Nothobranchius furzeri: one gene and its partner. The protein of the gene in region 1 purifies or fractionates together with the protein of each later gene. This does not show direct contact. Links are inferred from orthologs where the notes say so. Each region holds a gene or a part of one and is shown on either strand. Other genes may lie near its edges.

Evidence for each region.
Region 2: the proteins of nek1 (region 1) and cfap410 purify together in Homo sapiens (affinity purification with mass spectrometry; 3 studies listed by BioGRID and IntAct, with this or other methods). This does not show direct contact. The link is inferred for Nothobranchius furzeri from reciprocal best matches to the Homo sapiens genes NEK1 and CFAP410.

What each region holds. Positions count from the first base shown.
Region 1 is NC_091748.1:39,058,835-39,070,483, forward strand, and holds the start of nek1 (serine/threonine-protein kinase Nek1), read left to right. Parts: upstream 1-22; 5' UTR 23-162; intron 163-450; 5' UTR 451-482; coding exon 483-599; intron 600-691; coding exon 692-788; intron 789-938; coding exon 939-1,036; intron 1,037-1,168; coding exon 1,169-1,252; intron 1,253-1,338; coding exon 1,339-1,406; intron 1,407-1,494; coding exon 1,495-1,581; intron 1,582-2,355; coding exon 2,356-2,410; intron 2,411-2,626; coding exon 2,627-2,827; intron 2,828-2,931; coding exon 2,932-3,004; intron 3,005-4,428; coding exon 4,429-4,523; intron 4,524-4,662; coding exon 4,663-4,728; intron 4,729-5,007; coding exon 5,008-5,067; intron 5,068-5,144; coding exon 5,145-5,192; intron 5,193-5,346; coding exon 5,347-5,427; intron 5,428-5,502; coding exon 5,503-5,702; intron 5,703-5,784; coding exon 5,785-5,907; intron 5,908-5,994; coding exon 5,995-6,100; intron 6,101-8,411; coding exon 8,412-8,498; intron 8,499-8,858; and 16 more. UniProt on the Homo sapiens protein: Phosphorylates serines and threonines, but also appears to possess tyrosine kinase activity. Involved in DNA damage checkpoint control and for proper DNA damage repair.
Region 2 is NC_091751.1:63,967,170-63,979,169, forward strand, and holds cfap410 (cilia and flagella associated protein 410), read left to right. Parts: upstream 1-6,533; 5' UTR 6,534-6,579; intron 6,580-6,662; 5' UTR 6,663-6,676; coding exon 6,677-6,753; intron 6,754-6,913; coding exon 6,914-6,932; intron 6,933-7,036; coding exon 7,037-7,083; intron 7,084-7,173; coding exon 7,174-7,403; intron 7,404-7,646; coding exon 7,647-7,797; intron 7,798-7,893; coding exon 7,894-7,990; intron 7,991-8,077; coding exon 8,078-8,239; 3' UTR 8,240-8,500; downstream 8,501-12,000. Other genes in the region: rpl37a (large ribosomal subunit protein eL43), read right to left, coding at 1,005-1,068, 5,311-5,393, 5,540-5,668, 6,243-6,245; 2-iminobutanoate/2-iminopropanoate deaminase-like, read left to right, coding at 9,300-9,376, 10,095-10,200, 10,579-10,633, 10,707-10,876. UniProt on the Homo sapiens protein: Plays a role in cilia formation and/or maintenance. Plays a role in the regulation of cell morphology and cytoskeletal organization. Involved in DNA damage repair.

The DNA of each region.
Region 1 (11,649 bases):
TGGTTATGAGAGATGATCAACAGCTGTAGGAACCAATCACTTTTCGAGAAATGTCAAATTGTCCAATGAAAACTAAAGAAAGTCATCGTCATCAGCTCGAGCGTGAGGCTAGCAGCGATTTCTAGAATCTCTTCAAAACTCCAAGGATTGGAGGAACTAATGGTAAGTTAAATGTTATTCTCGTAATTAATTTGTCATTTTGATACGTAAGGGTCGTTTTTTATCATCAGGTTTTGAGCGGGACTCTTGTTTTTTGTAGCAATCATCGTCTAGCTAGCTGTCAGCAGCGTTAGCTACCTGGCAGTGTTGACTCTCAGCATCACTGCTCTGACTCCTTCATGTCTTTTTGTTTTATCTAGTGTAGAATTGTGATTAATGAATGACATTTGTTTTCTAACTTTTAATTCAAAGCTTAGAGACAGAGATCATCCAGAACTTTCCTATTTCCAGATTCAGCATGTAAAGTCAGCCTATCTAGTAACATGGACAAGTACGAAAAGGTGAAGAAAATCGGGGAAGGTTCATTTGGAAAGGCTATCCTGGTGAAATCCAAAGAAGATGGACACCAGTATGTCATCAAGGAGATTGGCATATCTGGTGTAAGATGCTTTGCATAATTCACGTTTTCCATGGGTGAGTTACCTCCTCATGTTAATCCATGAATTTACATGAGTTGTATATAATTTTATAGATGTCAAGTAAAGAGAGGCAGGAATCTCGCAGAGAGGTTGCTGTTCTTGCCAACATGAGTCATCCCAATATTGTCCAGTATAAGGAGTCTTTTGAAGGTATTTACATAATTCAGAGTTCACCTGTTGTGATGAAATACAATAATTGTACTACAATAATCTGTGTGTGTGTGTGTGTGTGTGTGTGTGTGTGTGTGTGTGTGTGTGTGTGTGTGTGTGTGTGTGTTTAATATCACTTCGAATTTTTAGAAGGGGGATGTTTGTACATCGTGATGGATTATTGTGAAGGTGGAGACCTTTTCAGGAAGATCAACTCTCAAAAAGGAGTTTTGTTCTCAGAAGAGCAGGTAAGCTTTGATGCTGTAACTCTATGGAGTAATTATTTTTGAATAGCTGTGTTTGTGTTAAATGAATTATGCGATGGTGATTTCTGTTTTGATACCTCCTTGTTTGGTTTGCCCTTTTTCTGTCTTTCCAAGATCTTGGATTGGTTTGTCCAGATTTGCCTCGCTCTGAAGCATGTACACGATCGAAAAATCCTCCACAGGGATATTAAGTCACAGGTACTGTTTTCTGTGCATCTGTGGTTTACAGGCTATTTATTCTATTATTTATTTGTTTGTTTAATGTTGTCAATATGTCTGCACAGAACATATTTTTGACAAAAGATGGGACCGTACAGCTTGGTGACTTTGGAATTGCGAGAGTCTTGAATAGGTGTGTTCAGTGCCTTCTGCTGATTTTCGTAAGGACAACATTTAAACTTGTTAAGACAACAAAAACGTTGTTCTCCTCTCATTTTCAGCACTGTTGATCTTGCGAGGACATGCATAGGAACACCATATTATTTATCACCAGAGATTTGTGAAAACAAACCATACAACAACAAAAGGTAATGGATGAGTTTGAATCAACAGTGTTTCGGTGTTTCCTTCATTTAAAGAGCAAGTCACGCCCAAATCAGCTTTTTTTGTCTTCTAATAAATTATCAATGCATGTCTAATCGCGCTGCAGACACGTGTCGTCAGTAGTTTTGCACTTTAGTGCATTTTAGTCTAAATTTAAATTTTCTGCCTAAAACTGTCAGTGTTGTGCCGTCGTCAGGTAAAAACTCTGCACTGCATTTGAATTTAAATCTGCCATCGCTATTGGCTAAGAGGTACCCTAGAACGTTAGCTGGTACCATGTGATGTCACAATGTCGTTGTGAGCCTGTGTGTGTATTTATTAGTGGCTTCGCCCCCTCGGTCTGCTAGGCAACAGCATTTGTTGCATTTTTCAAACAGGAAGTGGGAGTTGAGTTAGACTCTGGTAGGGGTGACTTGCTCTTTAAATTAGAACCTCTTAGTCCTCATATCCGCACTCTTAACAGTGAGTTCATGCAGGATTGTGTTGCTTATTGGTGATGTCAGCATGGTCACCTCGTGATACTTATACTGCAGAAAGCTAATACTGTTTTCTTCCTTGCCTGTTTTAGGTGTTCATGGTGTCTACTTTAGTCATTCTAACTATTCCAGTGCTTAGTCAGGAGTTTTCACATAGGCCCCAATCAGTTTAACATGCATTAAATACTATTAATAGCCTACTCTGTGAACGTAAACCTTCCCTGACTGCCATCCCTGCCTGTTCATGTGTACCTTATTTCCCTACTGTCCTTCCTTCTGCAGTGACATTTGGGCCCTAGGATGTGTCCTCTATGAAATGTGCACTCTTAAGCATGCAGTAAGTATTTGTGTGTAAGCTGTTCACATATCGGTGCACATTTTAATGCATTCTTTGTAGTCCTGCAGTGTTCACTCATATATTCTGCTCTTGGCTGCAAACACTCTGGTTTCAAATCTGACATTCAGAAATGTCGTGCTGTTGATTTCCACTCTATTGTCTTAAACATGTTCATTCATTATACAAATAGTCGTGTGTGTGTGTGTTTCCTTTTAGTTTGAAGCTGGCAACATGAAGAACTTGGTCCTGAAGATCATTCGTGGTTCATTCCCTCCTGTGTCTGTTCACTACTCCCAAGAACTGCGGTCTCTCTTGGCGCAGCTGTTTAAACGAAACCCCCGAGAGAGGCCCTCAGTCAGCAGCGTACTGGACAAGCCTTTCCTTTTCTGCAGGATAGAGAAGTTTCTCACACCACAGGTAGATTTGATTTTATCTTTTACTATGCTTTCTTTGTCTTTATAAACCAAACTTTGGTCATTTAAAAAAGCTTGTCTCCCCCCCCCCCCCCCCCCCCCCCCAAGATCATCGCTCAGGAATTCCGCCATCATTTTCTTCACAAGCAGCCTAAAGTGGGTTTGGCACAAGTGCCATCAGGTAGGTGAAGTTGTGCAGCATTGCCCGTCTCATCCTCTCTAATGTTACCTTATTGGATAAATTTAAAATCGTGCACAATGTTGCCTTACTCTTCATGACGTTAGAGTCCAAAGGTTTTTGCTATTGATGTAATCAAAGACAAATAACTAAATTGGGTCAGAAGGTCTGAAAGAGAAGCTAGTGGACATGAACTAAGTAAGCTTTACAACCAGTTGCCCGAATCTCAGTCTGTTGTAAGGTGATGCTTTGACTTCTGGAACAGTTTAAAGTTCAGTTGTCACAGTTGCCATGAATGGCATTTAAAACCTGTTGGTAGGGAAACAAATAAACAATATCTCAATCCTCAAAAATCACCTGGAGAAGAGAAGAAGAATAAATTATAAGGAAATGTGCTTCAGTGTCCATCACTGAAAAGATCTGGAATCGTGTTGAAGGCCTAGGTTGCTCAAATGAATGCAAATCCCAATCTGCCTTTCGCGGTTTAAACATAAAACCACCTCGTGTTGAGGGAGTAAATACGTTCAAGCAGTTTTTGTCAAATCTTAAACGACTGTCCGTTATCATAAGATCAGGTAGACGCTGAAGTACATGTGGTAAAGGATGCTCAGCTGTTGTAGACCATCATCTGTAAAATTGACTAAAGCCATGCTTTCTAATATCCTGTAGCTGCGACCGCCATCTTGAATCAGGCTGATGCAAAAATGTAATTTGTTATAGATGCAAGTTCAGGGATTTTCTTCTGTGAGTTTAATCTAAATCGGTTATTTTGTCAGCACTACATGATCGAGACATGAATGAGTTTGCTTTGGTTTTATTAAAATGACAACGTGTGTGTGTGGGAAATAATTTAATAACTTCTAGCATTGTTCCTTGTCCTATCCCTCAGATTTAGCATGAAGACTGCAGTGAGTCCTAAACTCCAACCAACAAGGTGTCAAAATTCACACCACAGCCCTGAAATGAACCAAAGCTTTACAGTAATTGCTATGGTGATGCGTCCCACAGAGGCATGACACAGCTTTGTGAAACCTCCAGATGAGTCTGGAGTTACCGCTGTCGGACTTTAATCCTGCTTCATGACCCCGACCCTTGTCTTCACTCAGTTATGCAGCTGCTTGCTTTAAACCCTATTCTGAAAACACAAATACTGTAATCCTTAAGAAAGGTCAAATTCAGAAGAACTACGTGTCACATTAAGCTACGTGGGCTAGTCCATGCTTTAACAGGTGTGGACATGTACTCGTCTCATCCACCAGGCTGCAGCAGTCGGCCGGCGCAGGACAGGCAAACTGTGTTACACCTCATGTTTTTAGGGATATTATGTGTACTGTAGTTATTGTATGTTATGTGCTGTGAAAGCAAGCTGTTATTGTTTTTTTATTTGACTGAATTGCTTCTCTTCTTTTCACACTCTGATGCTCCAGCCCAGAAAATTACAAAACCAGCTTCCAAATATGGAGTGCCTTTAACTGGAGCCAAGAGCTCATCGGAGAAGAAATCTGCTGTAAAACACAAACCGGTCAGTCATTTTCTTTAGGCTGATCAACGGTTAAGTTCATTGTCTTGAATCTCATCCGGCTCCCATGGGCCTGTTTCTGAGTGTTGTGGCATCACACTGTGCCGGCTAACTCTGAAGCCACATGTCGTATGTTGCTCAGGCCCCAAACCCAGCAGCCCCTCAGAGGAGACCGAGTCAAGGGGAGGAGGAAAGGAAAAAACACGAGGTACAGCTGAGCACCCGTATACCTTAATCCCCGTTAGACCTCCCTTCGTCTTCTATCATTCTCGCACACACACACACTTGGGTGTCCTGTTACCACCACTTTCAGTTTTCCCCTCGCCCGTTATGCGTGATTGTCCCATTTTCCACTCCAGACCAACACAAGTGCTCTGCTTGGATTAGCTTTTTCATTAAGCACCTTTCCCTGTGACAGAGCAGCCCTGCAACCTCAGCCGTATTTTCTAGAACATATTTTGTGTGTGACGCCTGTTTTCCTCTACAGGCGGGAATCGGAAAGAAAAAGATGGAACAGACGGAGAAAGAAAGAAAACAGAAAGAGCAGGTGAGCATTCAGTTTAGTTTCTTTGTATTCATTTTTTATTTATTGAGCTTTGTAGTTTTCTACTCTCTGCTTTCCAGATGTTCCTGTTGAAAGCAGAGCAAGTGAAGAGGTATGAGAAGGAAAAGGTGAGAAACTGCTTTTCCTACAAGCTAAGGTGGAGTCGGATAGCTTTGGGCTGAAATGTGGCTCAGCTTTATATTTTACTTTCACTAACCCTGACCACAAAAGCCGTGATATGATTCAAGCTGAATGAAAAGTGAAAAATGGGATTTCTTGCAGATCAGTCGTATAAACCAAGCCAGAGAACAAGGATGGAAGCATGTACTGGGTTCGAGTGGAGGTAGCAGCCCAGAGAGGAAGGTAGCTTGCATAAAATGTTATGTCTGTGTTTAAAAGCTCTGATTTATTTAACTCAAAGCAAATGTTTGTGTCCAGTGTTTAATGGGGGGTAAGCGCGCTGCAGGCGTTGCCGCTGTTGTCCGAGGCTCCCATTTGGCCCCAGCTCCAGCCCCAGCCCCCATCCCTAACAAGAGGCCGTATGAACACTACCACGCTGCTCTGGATCAAACGGCTAAGTCACAGTCCAAAGACCGCAGCAGGGACGGCGCTTCAGCAGGACCTGGCAGTCCCGTTCAGTAAACGCATGTTTTTCCACTTCCTTTACTGCAGTTTGGGTTGTATCAGATAAATGTAAAAGCTTTGTTGGTGTTTTTCCAGTGGTGGTGTGGCTGCTGCAGGCCCAGTGCTGTCCAACAGCCCCACTCAATGCCTGAATCATGATGTCATCAGAAGAGAACTACAGAAGTTACAGCATGCTTCAAAACAAGCCCACATTAGTCGGTGAGTTGAGCTGAAGCGCATGCATCTCAATAAAAAGAAATGATAAATGCATTATTTGCTTCAACGTTCCAGTGTTCTGTTTTCCAGGCTGGGCCGGGCCCAGATGGCTGCAGAGCGGACCTTTCAGGTCAAGGAGTTTTTACAGAGGAAGAAGGAAGCCATGCTTAATAAAGTTAGAGCTGAAGGACAGCTGGTACGTAGGAAGGCACCGTTCTTATGGCTGACCATCTTTTTACTCCTGGGCTCAGAAATGACCCGTTGTGAACTGGTTGTTAGGTTAGACACACAGGGTTTGGAGGTGACGTCTATATTTGACACGTGTTGCTGATATTTAAACATTAGTGTAATATTTTAAACTATTTTAAAGATAAAAATGACAAAGAATGTGATCTCTTTGTTTTATTAAGGTTGTTTTAGGCTGAAACCTTTAAGAAGGATCTCAATTCTTTGAGACTGAAGTAAAAATTCCTTCATTTCTTTGCGCAGTGGCGCAGTGGTTAGAGCTGTTGCCTTGCAGCAAGAAGGTCCTGGGTTCGCTTCCCGGCCTGGGATCTTTCTGCATGGAGTGGGCTCCGACGTCCTCCCACAGTCCGAAAACATGACTGTTAGGTTGATTGGGCTGTCCAAAATTGGCCTTAAGTGTGTGTGTGTGTGTGTGTGTGTGTGTGTGTGTGTGTGTGTGTGTGTGTGTGTGTGTGTGTGTGTGTGTGTGTGTGTGTGTGTGTGTGTGTGTGTGTGTGTGTGTGTGTGTGTGTGTGTGTGTGTGTGTGTGTGTGTGTGTGTGTGTGTGTGTGTGTGTGTGATTACAGGATAAGTGAATGGATGGATTTGTTTGCATTTTCCTCTATTCATGTGCAGGGTTAGGGTTAGGCCGCAGCATGATACTGCCACCCACTGCTTTAGTGTGGTTTTGCTGTGATGAAGAGTCCTGTCATCAAACCTATTTTAATGATGTATGGAGCTAGAAGTTGTTCTGTAAACAATAATTCCATTTTATACATTCTTTAGAGTTAAAGGTTACAAATCATGCTATTTTAAACCTTTGAGAGCAAAAATAGGCACAGTATAAAATATTACTGTTGGCAATTTTGAGATGTCATTTATCTTAAATACAAGTTATTTTCATCAGCCTGAATTTAAACCCAGCGATAAAAGGCTTTCAGTGAAACTCCGCCCATGCCCACTCTGACAAAATGTCCGTACCACAGCGTCTTAGGCGAGTCCGTGGGTGTATTGGTTATGGAAGCTCGGTGGTTAAGGCGTCTGCCTGGCAGCTCATTTGTGCCATGTGCTGATTTCAGTTCGAGTCCTGGTGGAGTCTGCGCTGATTTACTTAGCCAGCTGAAACAGATTTCATGTTTTTATATTTTAATCTTATGGGTTATTTTCTGCAAAATATTTTGTGTCCAAACATTTTAGAATTTGGTCGTTTCCCAGCAGAGTTTTAGTTTACGTACTCTGCTCACCTCACATGGACTCACGCTGGTAACGTTCTTTTTATTTTATTGTATTTTATTTAATTTTTTGCTTTCTATGCTCATTTATTAGCCTTTATATTTTAAATAGTTTAAGTGTTGAAATCATAGTGGCAAGTGTAGCTAAAACAATGATCCAAGGTTGGTGCTCGGATCGGGATGTGCGCCTGTGCAACGCTCCATGCCAGCCTAGCACTCACACCTGTGGACCACCACGTCTGTTACATGATGCCAGTCTCCTTTAAGGCCCATGTCCTGTGCTGGCCAGGGCAGACGGGTTTCAGACCAGAGACTAGCTTCTGGGAGAGGAGCAGAGCCTGATGATGAGATTTAGTTTCCACTGACGTGTTATGGGATTTTCAAATTAAAACTCAAAATTTGCATTTGAAACAGGAAAGTGCATCAATGCAGTCAAAAGCATGTTTTTTTGTTTTTATGAGGAAACATCAAATCATAAAATATTACTATCATTATGTGCAATAATCATTTCGATTATCTTCATTTACAATTATACTCTCGTGTGATATATTTTGTGCTACTGCTGTCACCCTCTGTCCTTGAGCTGCTGCAATAAGGCAGTTTCCCCACTGAGGGACCAAAAAAGCTATTCTTACTCTTAAAAAGCTCCAAATACTGTGAGTGCTTTGGTTGTTTGAAAAGCAACAAATCCAGTAAATCTAATCCAGGATTGGTCTACTTTTAGTGCTGCTTTAGAGGGTTTGGTGTGATTGCACCTTTTAATTAAATCTAAGGTAATTGTGAGCTGAGGGTTAGGGCTGAGTCTTATTTTATGGCTTCATAGCAAAGAGGTGAATACATAAGAGCACTTTCTAATAATTTACAAAGTACTTTTTTCTGTGTAGACGTAGAAAATAAACTAGGTTTAATTTCTGATTATCGTGCAGTGTTAAAGGGGTTGAGGTGATTACATCCATCAGTGGGTGGTTAATTTGAGCCGTTCTCTAACCATGCTTGTTAGATGTTAGGACCTTCACTTTCTAAAGCGTGGTTACATTGAATGCTGGACAGGGCACTCGACCACACATGGCTGCCATCTATGGAAGCTGGGCCAGTACAGCTCGGTGCCGGCGGCCCAAAGTCAACCGAGAGGAAGAGGTAGGAGCCCGGACCTGAATGCCCGGCTTTACGGCCCGTCTCACCTATGGCCCGCCCAGTTTGTCTGCACAAACCTCCCTTTGACAAACAGTTCAGTCACGTTGGCTGTCCAGTGTGAGCTGGTTATTTCAACCCAGCAGTGGCTGTTTTCCATTTCAAATACTCATTCCAGTTTTGTAATCAGATTTTCATTTGAATTTAACGAATGCCTTTTTGTGGAATTCTTGTTTGCAAGTGTGACCCGTGCACTAATTTCATGAGTTGCAAATGCATGAGTTTGTGTGCATGCGTGAATGGATGTATAAACAGGAGTTTTTGCATCCATTAGTAGTAAACTTCAACATGGGTACTTGTTCTCAGGAGTACTTGGCAAGACTCAGGCAGATCCGACTGCAGAACTTCAATGAGCGTCAGCAGATCAAAGCCCGACTGAGAGGGGAGAAGGTACTTCCTACACCTTTATAGTCTTACCTGTGCCTGTAATGAAAGCAGCTTCATGCTCTCAGACTTCTAGGCTCCCGGTTATAGTTGGTGTTTGTGTTTTTTAGTATGACAGCGATGGCTCTGATAGCCAAGAATCTAGTGAGGAGGCCGAGCTCAGAAGAAAGAAAATAGAGGTTTTAAAGGTGGGTATGCATGGTGTAAAGCTTCTGACCTCAAGGCTTACGCGGTGGCTCTGATGAGCATTAGAAGGTCTGAGGTGTACTGGGAAAGGTTTGACCCTTTTGTGTTTGTTTGTTTATGTTTGTTCCTGTCAGGCTCAGGCCAACACGCGAGCCGCTGTTCTGAAAGAGCAGCTGGAGAAGAAGAGACGGGAAGCATTTGAGAGGGAAAAGAGAGCTTGGGACGACCATGTAGGCTTCATGATTTATTAAACACAACATCTTTATTTTGCTCAACTAAAACTTTCACCGAACATTTTAATTTAGTTAAGTTTAATATTTGTGCTGCTTGTCACTGAAGCTTGCTGCAGCTCGAGGTGTGAAGTTGGGCATTGTAGCAGAAGCATCGCCTGTCTCTGACCTTCGACCTCCAGAACCTTGGGACCCCCAGCAAGGACACACTGCCAAAACATCAGCCCAGCCCTCATCCTCGGCTATATCCATGACTGCTGCTCTGAAGAACGTCGGAGCCATCAGTGTATGCGTACATAATACACACACTGTTTGAGCCTGCAGTTGTTGTCTGTATTCATTTAGTCCCTTTTGTTCAGCAGATTAGTCCGCTTAAAGAAAGCTTGCATGAACCAGAGACAGCAGCAGCGATTCAGGTGTTTTCATTTATTTTCCTCTACATATTCAAACAAAATGAATTATTTTGAACCAACCTTCATGTTTTCTTTCCACCAGAGTGAGAAGAAGCAGATTCTAAACAGACTCAACCAGAACCTAAAGGCACTGAACCCGGTGGACAAGATGGAGTCTCCACCTGCACCTGCAGAACCAAGTCCTGATGTCCAGCAGAAGCAGTCTGACGCTGAGAAAAGTCCCACTTTGGATGGTGACCGGAAGAAATGGGAAGCAGCAGAGCTCCCCGCTCTGCCTGAGCCTCCTCACATGTTAGAGGAGACAAATCCCACGACGGACAGTAAGTTTAGACTGGAGATAGATTTGATCTTTCTGTGCCATGGTCAAGCCCTTCCAGATCTTCTTCAGTGCAACTACTCAAGTTATTGCAATAAACAATACGTTATACCACATATTCATCACGTCTTAAATGACACTCACTCTAAACTCCATATGTTATCCTCTTCAGCATCACCAGAGGACAGACCTTCCTCTGCTGGGGACAGGAAGAAGTGGGAGGCAGGTACTCCACTTGTTTTCCCAGCAGCGCAGCAAACCCTAGAGGAGACGTGCATCACCACCATCAGTAAGTATCTGCTAAGAGTGAGAGGAAGAGCACACTTCCTGTGAACCGTTGCTGTATTTTGTTGTCCGTGTTCATCATCTCTCTGCACGTGGTTCCTCACAGATCAAACGGTGGGGGAGGTCATAAAGATGGGTGAACTAGAAGCAGAAGCTCCCAGGAAGGTGTGGGGAGCGAGTCCAGTGTGTCAGGTGCTGAGAGTGCTTCAGGAGGCCAAGCTGCAGTCTCTCACCCAGCAGCTGGACTGTGCCACCAGATCTGACAACACATTTTCTGTTTCTGGTTAGTTTTGGTTAAACTTTGTTATCTATGCAACACAAAAGCAGGAGTGTTAGAAATTCTTAGTTGCAATTTGTTGAATTTTGTTTTTAAGGTCTTTCCTGCCTTTAAGTTGTAGCTTTCAACAAATCGACCCAGAATATAGTTTTGCTAGAAATAAACCACGGAAGGAAATGGCCGTCCTTGGCCCAATATAACTATAGACACATTAGTGTGTGTGTGTGTGTGCGCGTGTGCGTGTGTGTGCGCGTGTGTGTGTGTGCGCGCGTGTGTGTGTGTGTGTGTGTGTGTGTGTGTGTCTTCTCGATCCCCAGTGAGTCGTGGAGGAAGGCTGCTTATACTGAGCCAGGATTCTCTGGAGGTTTCTTCCTGTTAAAAGGGAGTTTTCCTCTCCACTGTCGCTGCATGCTTGCTTAGTATGAGGATTGCATCAAGTCACTGACACTAGTCAGTGACTTGATGCAACCTGCTGGGTTCCTTATATAGGAAACATTATTTCTGATTGGCTTAATGAACTGACCTGAATTGGAATGTTTATTATGGGAAGTGCCTTGAGACGACTCTTGTCGTGATTTAGCGCTTTATAAATAAACTTGAATTGAATTGAATTCATTTAAAAGACATTTGGATAATTATAGTGATGGCAGAGATGCATTTGCATATATTTAGAACCCATAAAGAAACCATTACTAAGGTCTAATTCATGCTAGCAGTAACACATCTGTGTGGAATATTTAGGTCACAACTAAAACATTCAGTTAAGTCTTAGATTAAAAAGTATTCTGTTGTTTGAGACTAATCTGAATCAGCAGGAGTGGAGACGATACTGGCTCACAAAACTAGCAATGGTGCGTCTAGTGATACACACATGCCACAAATACTCTGAGCCAACATAAAGCCCTTTGAAATTAAAAACCACAAAATTTGCCAGAGTTCAGCTGCAAATGAGTGTCTGTTCATTTACTGTATGGCATTTGTTTAATACAACTAATCTGATTACATT
Region 2 (12,000 bases), on another chromosome or scaffold:
AAACCATTTTGATCATATTCATATCTACACTATCCTCCATCTGACTCCGTTCCATTAGAGCAGGCTGTCATGTCAACACCTCCTCTGTACCAAAGTTCGCTGCTGTCGCCAATGGCGTCCACACGTAACTCTCCGTGTTTGAGTGAAGCAGAAAATAAAAGGATGACCAGCTCAACTCTAGTTGACTCACCGAGCTCCAGCAGCTCCGCAGAAATAGCTTTTCCAATCCCGGTTCCTCCTCCGGTCACTATCGCTACTTTATGGTTGAACAAGCCGGGCCTGAACACACTGGACGCCGCCATACTGTCTCTGTGAAGCTCAGCAGCGCCCCCTCTGGAGACTCATATACGCCACTGGATGCTACATGCTAGATGTGGATTTTTACAGCAATTAAGTTTTATTTTTAATGAAGCACTTTGAGCCTAAGGTACAGATACCAGCAAATCATGCTTACATTTATTCTATTGGGTTTGCAAGGATGATTTAGGAATGCATCAGAAAATCCTACTCCTAACATAGCTGTATAACTGAAAATGTATAGAATGAAAAACGTAGTTTTTCATTATCAGATTAATTAAGCCTATTTTGTCATCCAGTAGACTAACCATTGTTTGTCTGTGGACCACTTTCTTTGCACAAAAAAGCAGGAAGAACAAACTACTGGCCAATTGATTTGAGGACAAATTGACTTGATTCTTGTAAGATGTTTGAGAACTTTCATGGAGGATAATCCACAGTATTTTTTTTTCAGTTGACACAATTTTGATTCTTTTTTTTTACATAAGCCATGTCGTTTGTGCTGAAAACAGAATCAGTGGCAGCATTGTGACTTCTGTGTGATGCACACTAATTACACCTGGAACCAGAGCTCCTTTGATGTTACATTTAAAACAAGCACAGAACAACACTTTTCTCCAGTCGGCTTTATTTTGGGATGTTCATGCCATGCCAGAAACATTCTAGAAAATAAGTCCCAAATGAACCAGTGATCCTTGAACACCGATTTACTGGTCCTTCAGCTCCTTCAGCCTCCTGATTGCTGACTTGACTGTGACAGCAGATGTTGTGCTGCAAAAAAACAAACACCACAACATTAATCATCAAGATAAACACCCATCTTAATTAGAACATGACCACCATTTTCTTAAAGGGTTTTTTCTTCATAAAAAGGTCCACTGCTAAAATATTTAAAGACCAAGTTCACTAGTTCTTTTAACACGTTTGTAGTGGTCTCTAGTATGAATGAATGCCTTGTGAACCCGTCTCTGTGGGGGAAAAAAGCTCTCGTGCTCCTGTTTCAGGAAGTAGACGTGAGCCTCAGCAGAGGTGAGGTGACCTTCAGACAGCAGGGTTTGGAGGCTCATTTCCTGATATTCGGACATCTTGCTCCTGATTGGCTAACAGAAATGTAACTTCACCATTCAGTTTAATATCCACAAATAACACAAGCCTGAACCAATGTTGAGATGCTAATACTAACAGTTAACTTCTACTAGCTAAGAAATGCTCTGCTCTCTCCTGGACGCTAAGCTAACAACAGCCTTCCTCATCCTGAGCCAAGACGGACGAGTCCATGAATGCTCATTTTCTGTGAGACATAGATCAAAGTGTTTTTTCTAATTCGAACATTTAGCCGACCATTTTCCATCAGTGGCTAATGCAGGAAATAGGAGAAGTAGACTATTTTCATGTTCAGCCTGCATTTGGAACTCAAATGACCACATAAAACAAAAGTAAAAATAGTTTCTCAGTGAAGTTGGCCTTTAAGAAAATAAACTATTGCCTGAAGAGAGCAAAAGGGATGATTCATTTAGTGGCTGGGTTGTTTCACATTGGCAGAACAACAGTGTTTATCTTTAGGAAGACAGGGGAGATATAGTCTTTAAATAATCTGATATAACACACACACACACACGTTCAAAAATAAGCAGTTTTGGCATCGATATGCGTCTTTAAAATTCATGGACATAACTAGTGAAATCCATAGCACATAACAAGCGGTGTTAGAAAATAGTGTTTTTTTGCCTCATTGGCTTGCATTCATTTTTTCGTTCTTCCGGGGACCCATGGTCCGTAAATAGATGGGCGTGACTTAGGCTCCCTATGCCATCTGCTTTCTTTTATTTGCAATGCAACTAAACTACAACAGAAGTGATTCTCTACTTTAGTTCACACACTGCTATTTTACCGACTGATATCAGTTTAAAAGTCCAAACTCTCACAGTCAAGCGGTATTCACAATCAGTCACCAACTTTAGAAAATATGACCAAACTTTCAAATTAATTGCATTTGCTCATACCAAGACGCATGGTTTGTATAATGGAATAAATTGATGAGCTATGTGTTTTGGACTGAATTAATTTGATTTAACAAATCTAACTGTTTTTTGTTTGTCAATTAATGGAAATACATTTCTGAACCTGCATAAAAGCCCCGCCCCCAGTTTGATTGACAGCAACGGGCAGCTTTCTCCACACAGTTTATGCTAGACTTAAACTCGAAACAGGAGACTGTCAATAATGCGGGACATGAGTTTCAATTTAGGGGACGTGAGAAAAGTCATAAGAATGCGACTCTACCGCTCTGGTCGCCATAGTGACGACACACTACAGAGCTCTGTTTGCTCCTCTGCCATTTAACAGAGAGAGGGAGAAAAACCCCTCACTGGATATACTGCGATACAGCCGCACTCTTAACCTGAAACTCGCTAGAATAAACGGAGTAGGAAGTGACGCCACCATCAGCGTCAGCTATGAGGATGTTTTGCAGTCCGCAAACGAAACTGTCGGCAAGGTAAAGACAAACCTTTCCTGTGTTTTAAAAAAGAACCAAAAATGGAATTTGAAAGTCTCTAGCTTTGGCCCTCACCTGTTTAAGCTGGCTTTTGTATGACCTTCTTCACCACTCCTTATTCTGCTTTCCCTACCTATTCCACCTTCCTCAGGATCCACAGATTTTCCTCTTTCCGATTTTCTCTCTCCCTCTTTACAGTTTTAATCAAAACTGCCTATTTTTGCTCTTGTAAACATATTTTAATCATTTTCGATTTTCTTTTTATATTCTAAATTTTTGTTTTTGTGATTTTTATCTTTAGAGGCGCTACAGAAAATATCTTTTTCTTCTTTGGAGAAACAAATCTTTACTTTAGAATGAAACATTGGTAAATCTAGCAACAAAGACAGATGGACACACTGGGAAGCAGAACTGTTCTAAGCAATTTGATTGGTTGGTGGCGTCACATGGGACGCTGTGCTGCATGCAAAAATTAAAGCAGACAAGTGCTACAGCCCAGTACCCAAGGAGGAAAAAAAATTCCAGGACATCTTAAACATTTTCAGGACATTTTACATGACTGGAAAATTTATGAACCATTTTCCAGGTTTTCCAGGATGCGTGGGGACCCTGTAAAACTGCTCGTCTTCAATGGACGAGTTTGTTGTGCAATATTAGTTTGTGGCAGGTCTAGATGAAAGAAAGAGACCAAACAGGCCCCATCTTCTCCAGAGTAGGGTTGAGTAGTATTGGTTATCATCCTGACACACCCAGAAATAGCAACAGTATTATAAGTGTGAATAAGTTTAAATCTTAGTTACATTTGCATACTTCCTGTAAAAACTGCTATTGTTAATCACGTAGCTGTATTATTTTGTTGCATAGATGCATGGAAGCATTGTATTTCAACGTAAACAGAACCGGTCATATTAAGCCTTATTCCACCTTTCCCGCAATCCACCAATTTCCCTCTTTCCTATTCGTTTTCTCTTTCCCTTTCCTTATTTTCATTCACATTTTTTTTTTCTCATTTTATACATATTTAATCTTTTTTTTGTACTTTCAATTTTTTTTGTTTATGTGAAGAGCCTCATGATTTTAATCTTGAGAGGCGATATATAAAATATTGTTTTCTTTCTTTCTAAAGGTGTCTGTACTTCAGTCCCTGTGAAGTCTAACAGAAAGAAGCTTCCAGAGCTCTGCACTGCTCCAGCTTATTTAAACAGCCGATACCGTTTAAATAAGCCAAACTTACAACCCGTGGTTTTTCTTTTACAATATAGTTGCCGGCCGGGACTCTGTAGTAATTCCACATGCGATTGTGACATCACCCTTAGTTGCGCCAAGGCGTAATTCACAAGTCCAGTGTTGTGCTAATATTACTACCAAGCATGGTGACACTAATGTCGCAAAATCCCTGCATCGCTGTGCCGCCACGGCGCTCTCATAAGACACACCATGGCAGCTGTATAATACTGATTTGCCGGTATGGCATGCCTTCTAAAAGCGACTATTGACCGCAAAGCTCCCACAATTAGCATCTGCACTGACATCCAACAGTGCAGAGTCAAGTTGGAGCTAGGAGCAGACAGGCTGGTTTTATACATCTGTACTTGTCGATATTTGTCCTTAGCAAAGCCGATTTAAAGTCAGGCACATCCTCAGGCAGCCCGGTGCTGCTGCAGAATTTATTTTTAATGTATTTTTACATTCACTAATAACTTCTGCGTAATAAATACTCTAAATTAACTTTATTTAGATGCCTGACTTTAGTTAAATTCAGAGTTAAACAGATTCAGCTTTAGAAATTGTGTGCATCAACTGATGTTAGTGACATTTTAGCATGAAATTAAGGTGGAAAATTAAATCAGCATTAAACATTTGCCATTGGCTTACCATATCTCCTATATATCGGCATCAGTAATAGAAAAAAGCTGGTCGACCTCTAGTTGGAACCTGAGAATGGTAAACTAGGCAGTACTACGGTTGTACAGCAACACACGCAATGATGAGAGAAGGAACAGAAAACTGCAGTTAACTAGGCATTCTAAAAGGCTTGTCATGGTCCACTAAAGTGGTGTAAGTAACACCTTTTGCACAAAAACAAAAGTCTGCACAGACCTGAAAGGCAGGTGGGTAGAAGAAAACTGTTTAAAACTGTTTCTTCACTGGGCTAAAAAATTACTACTAAATACAAAGATTCTTGAAGTACCTTTGAACTTGAAATATATCATGATAATTTGTAATTTTTTGTCATTTAACTCACTTTGATTTGTGTATAGTCATTAACAAAACAAACGAGCGTGTTTAAATTAAATTAAAAAAAAAAACTATTTCAAAATCGTTTTTAAATGGCCTAAATTGCATTAAAAAATGCCTATGCAGATATAACTGTTTTAACACCAGGATGGCTTAGTGACAATAAAATGTGGGACTAGTTTTTCAGAAAGTGAAGATCTTTCACAACTATCCTTAGGACAGTTTTATGATCTGCAGAAAAAACAAGAAAGCGGTAAAGGAAAAAAAGTGATACATACTTGTACGTCCAGGCACCACCAGCCACTGTCTTCTTGCAGGACCCACAGTGCCAGATACCGACAGCCCTCCTCTTCATCTTAGTCTACAAACAGAAACATTTTTGTGAAATTTCTCGAAGTACAACACTAACATTTTACTACACAGTTCAGACTTCATACCAACATCTATGCATCAAGATCACACTCTGCAAAGTTATTAATATCAAAATCACACAATTATAAACCTTGCCTTGCCACAGAAAGAGCAGGTATATTTCGCGTGCTGGGAGATTTCAATTTTCTTCACCATTTTCCTCAGCGACGCGCCATAACGCGTGCCGTATTTACCAACAATCCCCACCTTCTTGGTGCGTTTGGCCTGAAGACAAAACAAAATAATATCGGTTACATTCCTACAGATGTGCCATTCGTAGGATTGATTCCGTCTTCACAGATTAAGAAATTTATAACATAACACAAACTACATTAAAGTGCTAAATTTAGCTAAGCAGAATATACATGGGAACAGGTTTCATCTGAGGTGTGTAGACCTTGAGTGAAACTACCTGATCAACTCAAGCTTCCCCACAAATTTCATTTCTAGTTACGAAATTTCCGGTCAGTATGAACATAACTACTACTGTAGAACCATGTCGCTTCATATCGCCGTAACAGCAGTACCTACTGAAATGTGCTTAATGGAGAATTGGGAAGTGAGACAGTAAGCCGAAGTGACTAGCCCACCCGGTTAAAAAAGCTATGGCGGCAGCCATTTTTGTCTCAATGGGACATTAAAAACATCGTTTCTACTGCCATAATCTCTAAAATCACGCAAATAAGCATAAGGATTTACTAGAAGGGGCACCACAAAGCCTTCGAAGGATTCACCGTGTCACTCAAAACACGGGAATCATAAGATTGACAAGGATTGTTCGGGAGAGAGCTAACCTCACCATGGTTTCTGTAGAGACGTAGGTCCAAAGAGGGAGTACTCACTGCGCAGGCGCGATTTACTCAGTCCTTCTCGGGCATTGTGGGACTTTGAGTTTTCTTTTGAAGGAAATGATTTTCAACACAAACGTTAGTCTTACATTTTCTTTTTACATAACAATTCATTTCTATAGTATTGACTATGTTTCATGTTACGCCTGTATGACAAACACCTCAGACCAAAAAAAACAAACAGTAAGATGTTTTTTTCAAGGCGTAACTAAGGACGCTTCATTAGCTGGGCGCATGCGCATTCACGGTGTGTGGAATACACTTCTCTGAGGCTGAGATGATACGTTTGTCCGTCCACTATGTCATTATGCGACCTTTGTTCGTTGTTAAAATAAGCATACGTAATTAAAATATCCTTATTTTTGATTAAGATTGGTGAAATGCCATGAAGCTAACACGGAAGCTGATTCTTGCTAAAGCTAAGGCCTCCGACTTGCAAAGTGTGAGGAAACTTAACTGCTGGTAAGTGTCTAAATGTCAGGGCGAGCTGTGAGTTACTGTCTTTTTGCTCTACATTGTGGTAACTTTGTGTGTGTGTGTGTGTGTGTGTGTGTGTGTGTGTGTGTGTGTGTGTGTGTGTGTGTGTGTGTGTGTGTGCGCGTGTGTGTGCGTGTGTTTGCAGGGGATGCAGCCTGACAGATGTAAGTGATTTTTCATTTTTGATGTAAATCTGCTCTCTGCTTTGTTACAGTCCATCATACCCATTGTTGTTGTATGAGTTCATGAATGAGTGTCTCTTTTTCAGATATCTATTTTCTGTCAGGTACCCAACATTGAGGTGCTCACACTGAGGTCAGTTTTTCTTTAATTTAGAACGTTCCTTTTAGTTCTGACATGATGGTGGCACACCTTTAGGTCTTGTGATGTTTTCTCTGCCTGCAGCGTTAACAGCGTCGCATCTCTGTCTCCTCTGACTGGTTGCCTGTCGTTGAGTGAGCTCTACCTGAGGAGGAACATGATTCCGTCCCTCTCTGAATTGTGTCATTTGCGTCCGCTGACACGTCTCAGAGTGCTCTGGTTGGCTGAAAACCCATGCTGTGGAAATGACCCGAGCAAGTATCGCCTCACTGTGCTGCGCTGTCTCCCTCGCCTCCAGAAACTCGACAATCAGGGTGATTTTATGATGCTGCTGCACATCTTCTGCTCAGAATCACATGCCATAACTTCTAATAGCTCTTAAAAGGTGTTGTTTAGTTTTACTTTGAATCTTTAAAACTTCCAGCCTAGAAATGTAGACCAACTGTAGCAATGGCAAGAGATTTTGCTCTGCATATATAGGACGCCAGGCTAGATAACTGAAGGTTACAGAACAATCTTTGAACGGCTCATCTATGAATGACACTCCGTGTGTGCAGTGGTGACTGAGGGTGAGATCGCACTCGCTCTCATGGAGGGTGAAGAGGTCAGTACACCTCCAGGTAGTGTCCAGAACCAGCTCTCCAACAACGGACTTCCAGAAGCAGAGACAGAGAACGATGCACTTAACTACAACATGGAGGAGACCAAGTGGGATTTAATTGTTTTTAACCAGAACACAACAAATAAACAATATACAAACAATTTGAGGCAATAATAAACCTTTTGTTGTTGTTGTTTTTATAGCAAAATCAGAGAAGAACTGGGAATGAAGCCTCTCTCCAGGGACAAGTTCTCCTCTCCTTCTTCTCCATCCATCATTGAGAGACCAACAATGAGAAAGGTAGCATTTGTCAGTAGCGCCATTTTCAAACCTCATTGTGTTGAATCTGACTTAAACCTGGAAAACCTGAATGCTCTGTCTTTTCAGACTCATACACTTGATGCAGTTCTGCTTCTGTTGAAGGACTTGGATGAAGAGGAGCTTCATATTGTCCACACAGCCACACAGAACAGGCTGCAGACGTACACACTGGACTCGGGAGATGTTCAAAGTTTTCCAGCTCAAAAAACTGCAGACATTCAACACTAGCCTGTTTCACAGCATCAACTCCAACGCCTCAATCCCTTTTCCACTTCAAACCGCCGGATTCTGAGGGACGGAGATCTTTCTGCATGCAAAATGCACCACATGTAATTTTCATTTCACTGCCACTTTCACTTTTGTGAGACTTTATTTGCAGCATCATAGCGGCATGCCTACATGTCTTGAAAGAACAAAAGAATGTATGCTGTGCAGAATGTCTAGATCTATTTCTGTAAATAAAAACTGATCCAGCTCTTTTGGGAAAGCATTTAAAGTCCATCATGCTGTAAGTCACGCATAAATGGTTTTATTGGTTGCCATAATGGAATGGTACATGGCCTGTATTTGTATAGCAGCCCAGTGTGAAGCTGCTGGGATGAAAAATAATCTCTAAATCCGATACCATGATCTTGAGTGGGTCAAGGGTAGAATGCCTTCTCCAGAGCAGGGATGAGGTCCTGCCTGGAGGAGTTAAAAGTATTTTGGGGTCTTGTTCACGAGTGACGGAAAGATGGAGTGTGAGATCAATAGGGGGATTTGTGCTGCGTCTGCAGTGATGCGGGCGTTGTATCAATCTGTCGTAAAGAGAGAGCCGAGTCCCTCCGACCACCACCAGCAGGCAAGGTGGGTTAAGTGTCCTGCCCAAGGACACAACAGAAGCATTCTCTGTTGGGAGCTGGGATTGAACCTTCAGCCATCTGATTACTGGACAGTCTGCTCTACCTCCCAAGCTACTGCTGCTGAAGAAGCTTCTCATGGGTAGACTGACATACAAATCCTCCCTCAGGCTTAAACTATTTGATTATTATATTATTTTGAACCAGTAAGTGTTTTTCTCATGAACAGTAAAAGATAGCATTTTAGAGCATTTTTTCCATGAACGTACTAAAATGTGTAATCCAGATGAAGTTATCTGAGGTTTTCTTATACTCTATATACTTCTACACTGCAGAGCCGCCTCAGTATGCATCTCTTTTGGAAAAGTTTTTTTTTTTACAACTTTTGCATACAGTAGATCTGGACCTGACCACCAGACTAGAATATATATAGACAAGAGGAAGAGGTTATGGGAATCCTGGACCAGGGGACCACCAGTCTGAGTTTAGTCTCTCCCTTCACCTGGGACCAGTTTGTTAGTTTCGGGTGACCCAGCTGGGAGCAGAACCCTCCTGGCCAACATAACCCTAAGGATCATAGTACTCAACCTCCACCAGGATAAGATTGTGGCTCAAGAAGGAGTTTAAATGTTAAAATGTAATTATTGCTGTTAGAGTTTGGAGCTAATTGTACCTTTGTGGAAAACTTCTGATGAAATGTTCAAATCCAGTATCAACATTTTTCTTAGGGATCAACTAAACTAATTTTATTTTCTCTAAATCTAGATCTAAAAGCTCAGTGAAGGTTCTGTGTTCTAGATCAGTTTTAAAGGATGATGCATTGATGACCTTTCATATTCTAATGCTAATATTCTAATATATATTTGCATAACATAATATATATGCAAACTTTGCTAAGCAATAATTCGGTCTAGTTCACTAGGCCTACTTGAACACAGTTTTCATTGTATTTTATTTTTCTTGTTGATGTATTATTTTGTTTGTTTTAACTGATTTTAATCCTCTGGGACTATCGTGGATTTTGTTATTGTTTATGATCACCCTCAGTTAGGTCACTGTTGTTTATTCTAAACATGCTTTGTATGTACAGATTTACCACAATAGTCCATCTGTTTTAGATACTTTTAAAACCAGGATGATTGCCACATCAGAGTTACATATTCCTCTGACAACAGTAAAGCGCTAGACTGAAATGTCAAAGGTGGAAGGTATTTGAAAGATAGTCTTGTGTCTGTGTCTCTAAGCCAAGCAGTGGTGGTTGATCGGAGCGTGTATGTATCAGGACAGCTGGGGATGGATCCGGTCAGCGGCCAGCTGGTGGGAGGCGGTGTTCAGGCCCAAACCAGACAGGTGTCATCGTCCATCTGCTGATTTCACACCCGCACACCTGAGATGTGGCTATAGTTACTTTAGTATTCTGGAAAGTAACTTTTTTAGCATGACTTTACTTTAACAACCAGTGTTAACCAGCAGCTGTGTGGGAAAACATTCTTTACAGTAAACCAATGAATGATGAGTGAATGAATGATCTAAAACAACACAACAGCTGCTCTGCACAGATGTAAAACTATCCAAACATTCAGTCGTATGAACAAAATAATCCGCTAAGTACGTAGCAGCTGCTCTGACTGTGCTTTGGCTTTAAAGTGTCACCAGGATCATGTTAGCTCTTCATGGGACAAAGTTCAGGTCCATGTGTTGCAACAGTCTGTTGTGTTTTATTCCTAGGCTCTCGTGAACATGGGGGAGATCCTCCGAATGGCTGGATGCACTTATGAGAACGGTGAGGCGATCCTCTGTGTAGAAGCCATTGTTCTGCAGATGTTCTTCATGCAGTTTACTTTTATTTCTGGCAGTTGTTAAAACCACCGTGCTTCTCGCTGACATCAATGATTTCTCAAATGTCAATGAAGTTTACAAGCAGTGTGAGTATGTTGGCTTCCCCTCTATAGATAAGAGCTGTTGTACAACCCTGACCGCTGCGTGTCAGCACAAACTAGCTATACCACAAGTCCCATTTATTTAGCATAAGGAGCCTTTAGATCTGCCCGCTTTGCCCATCTTTCCTTAGTTTACTCCATATATATTTTTATATTCCCTACTTCTAAATAAAGTGATGTTCTGTCTGGAAGAGTTTTTATGGCTCCATGCTGATGTGAGGAGAGATCACCACATGTTGCATAAGCCAGTTAAACACCAAAACCAGAGATGATTCAATGTTACTGTAGGGTTAATGACCTAAACATAGGAATTAAAGGCCATTGCTATCAGCTTATATTTTAATTCCTAAGATCAAACAAATTGACGAATGAGATTATATATGGATATATAAATATAATAGCTATAAATTCATACACCAACTTGCTTGGTCTATGTTTAATCAAAAGATTATAATATTTATTTTTAAAGATTTAATTTAATAGCAAAGATTATTTGTTAATTCAGAAGATCTAAAGATCTTTGCCTGTTCAGTGATCAATGTACACCCACTCTGTGTTTATTTCAAGAAAGAGTCAAGTTTAAGAAGGTTAAGAAATTTATTACAAAACAATTATAAAACATGACAATTTATAAAAGACTTTGATATTAAAAAGACTTTGGTATTAAAAAAGCAACCCTGTGTTTGGATGAATCTAATATGAAGTGTTTGTTTGCGGGTGAATCATGGACGTAATTTTGGGGAGGGACAGGGGGGACATGTCCCCCCCACTTTTTCCAAAGTCAAGTTTTGACCCCTGCAATTTTTATCATCCAAAAACTATTACGCTATATTAAATTGGCACTGGTTGAGCTCTAGGACCAAGCGGAAAACAACCGTTTGTGTTGAAGCCTGTTTCCCATTAGAGCATACTGTCAAGACCCCCCCCCCCCCCCCCGTGTCCCCCCCACTTCTAAAGTGAAAATTACATCCTTGGGGTGAATGCAATGTCTCAGAACGTGTCTGGCGCAGGTGTGTTCTCTGGAGGGCCCTCGGTTGACGCTGTAGCGTAATGTTTTATTGACGTTACAACTCGCAGGTGCAGTCAGAGATCAGGGTCAGCCAGTGTGGTCACAGGGTGGCATTCAACCTTCCCCCTGTGGTAGGCGAGTCACCAACGTCAGGTCTAGAGGTCACTAGCACCAGCTGTAGGAGTAGGGTCAGTGATGTTG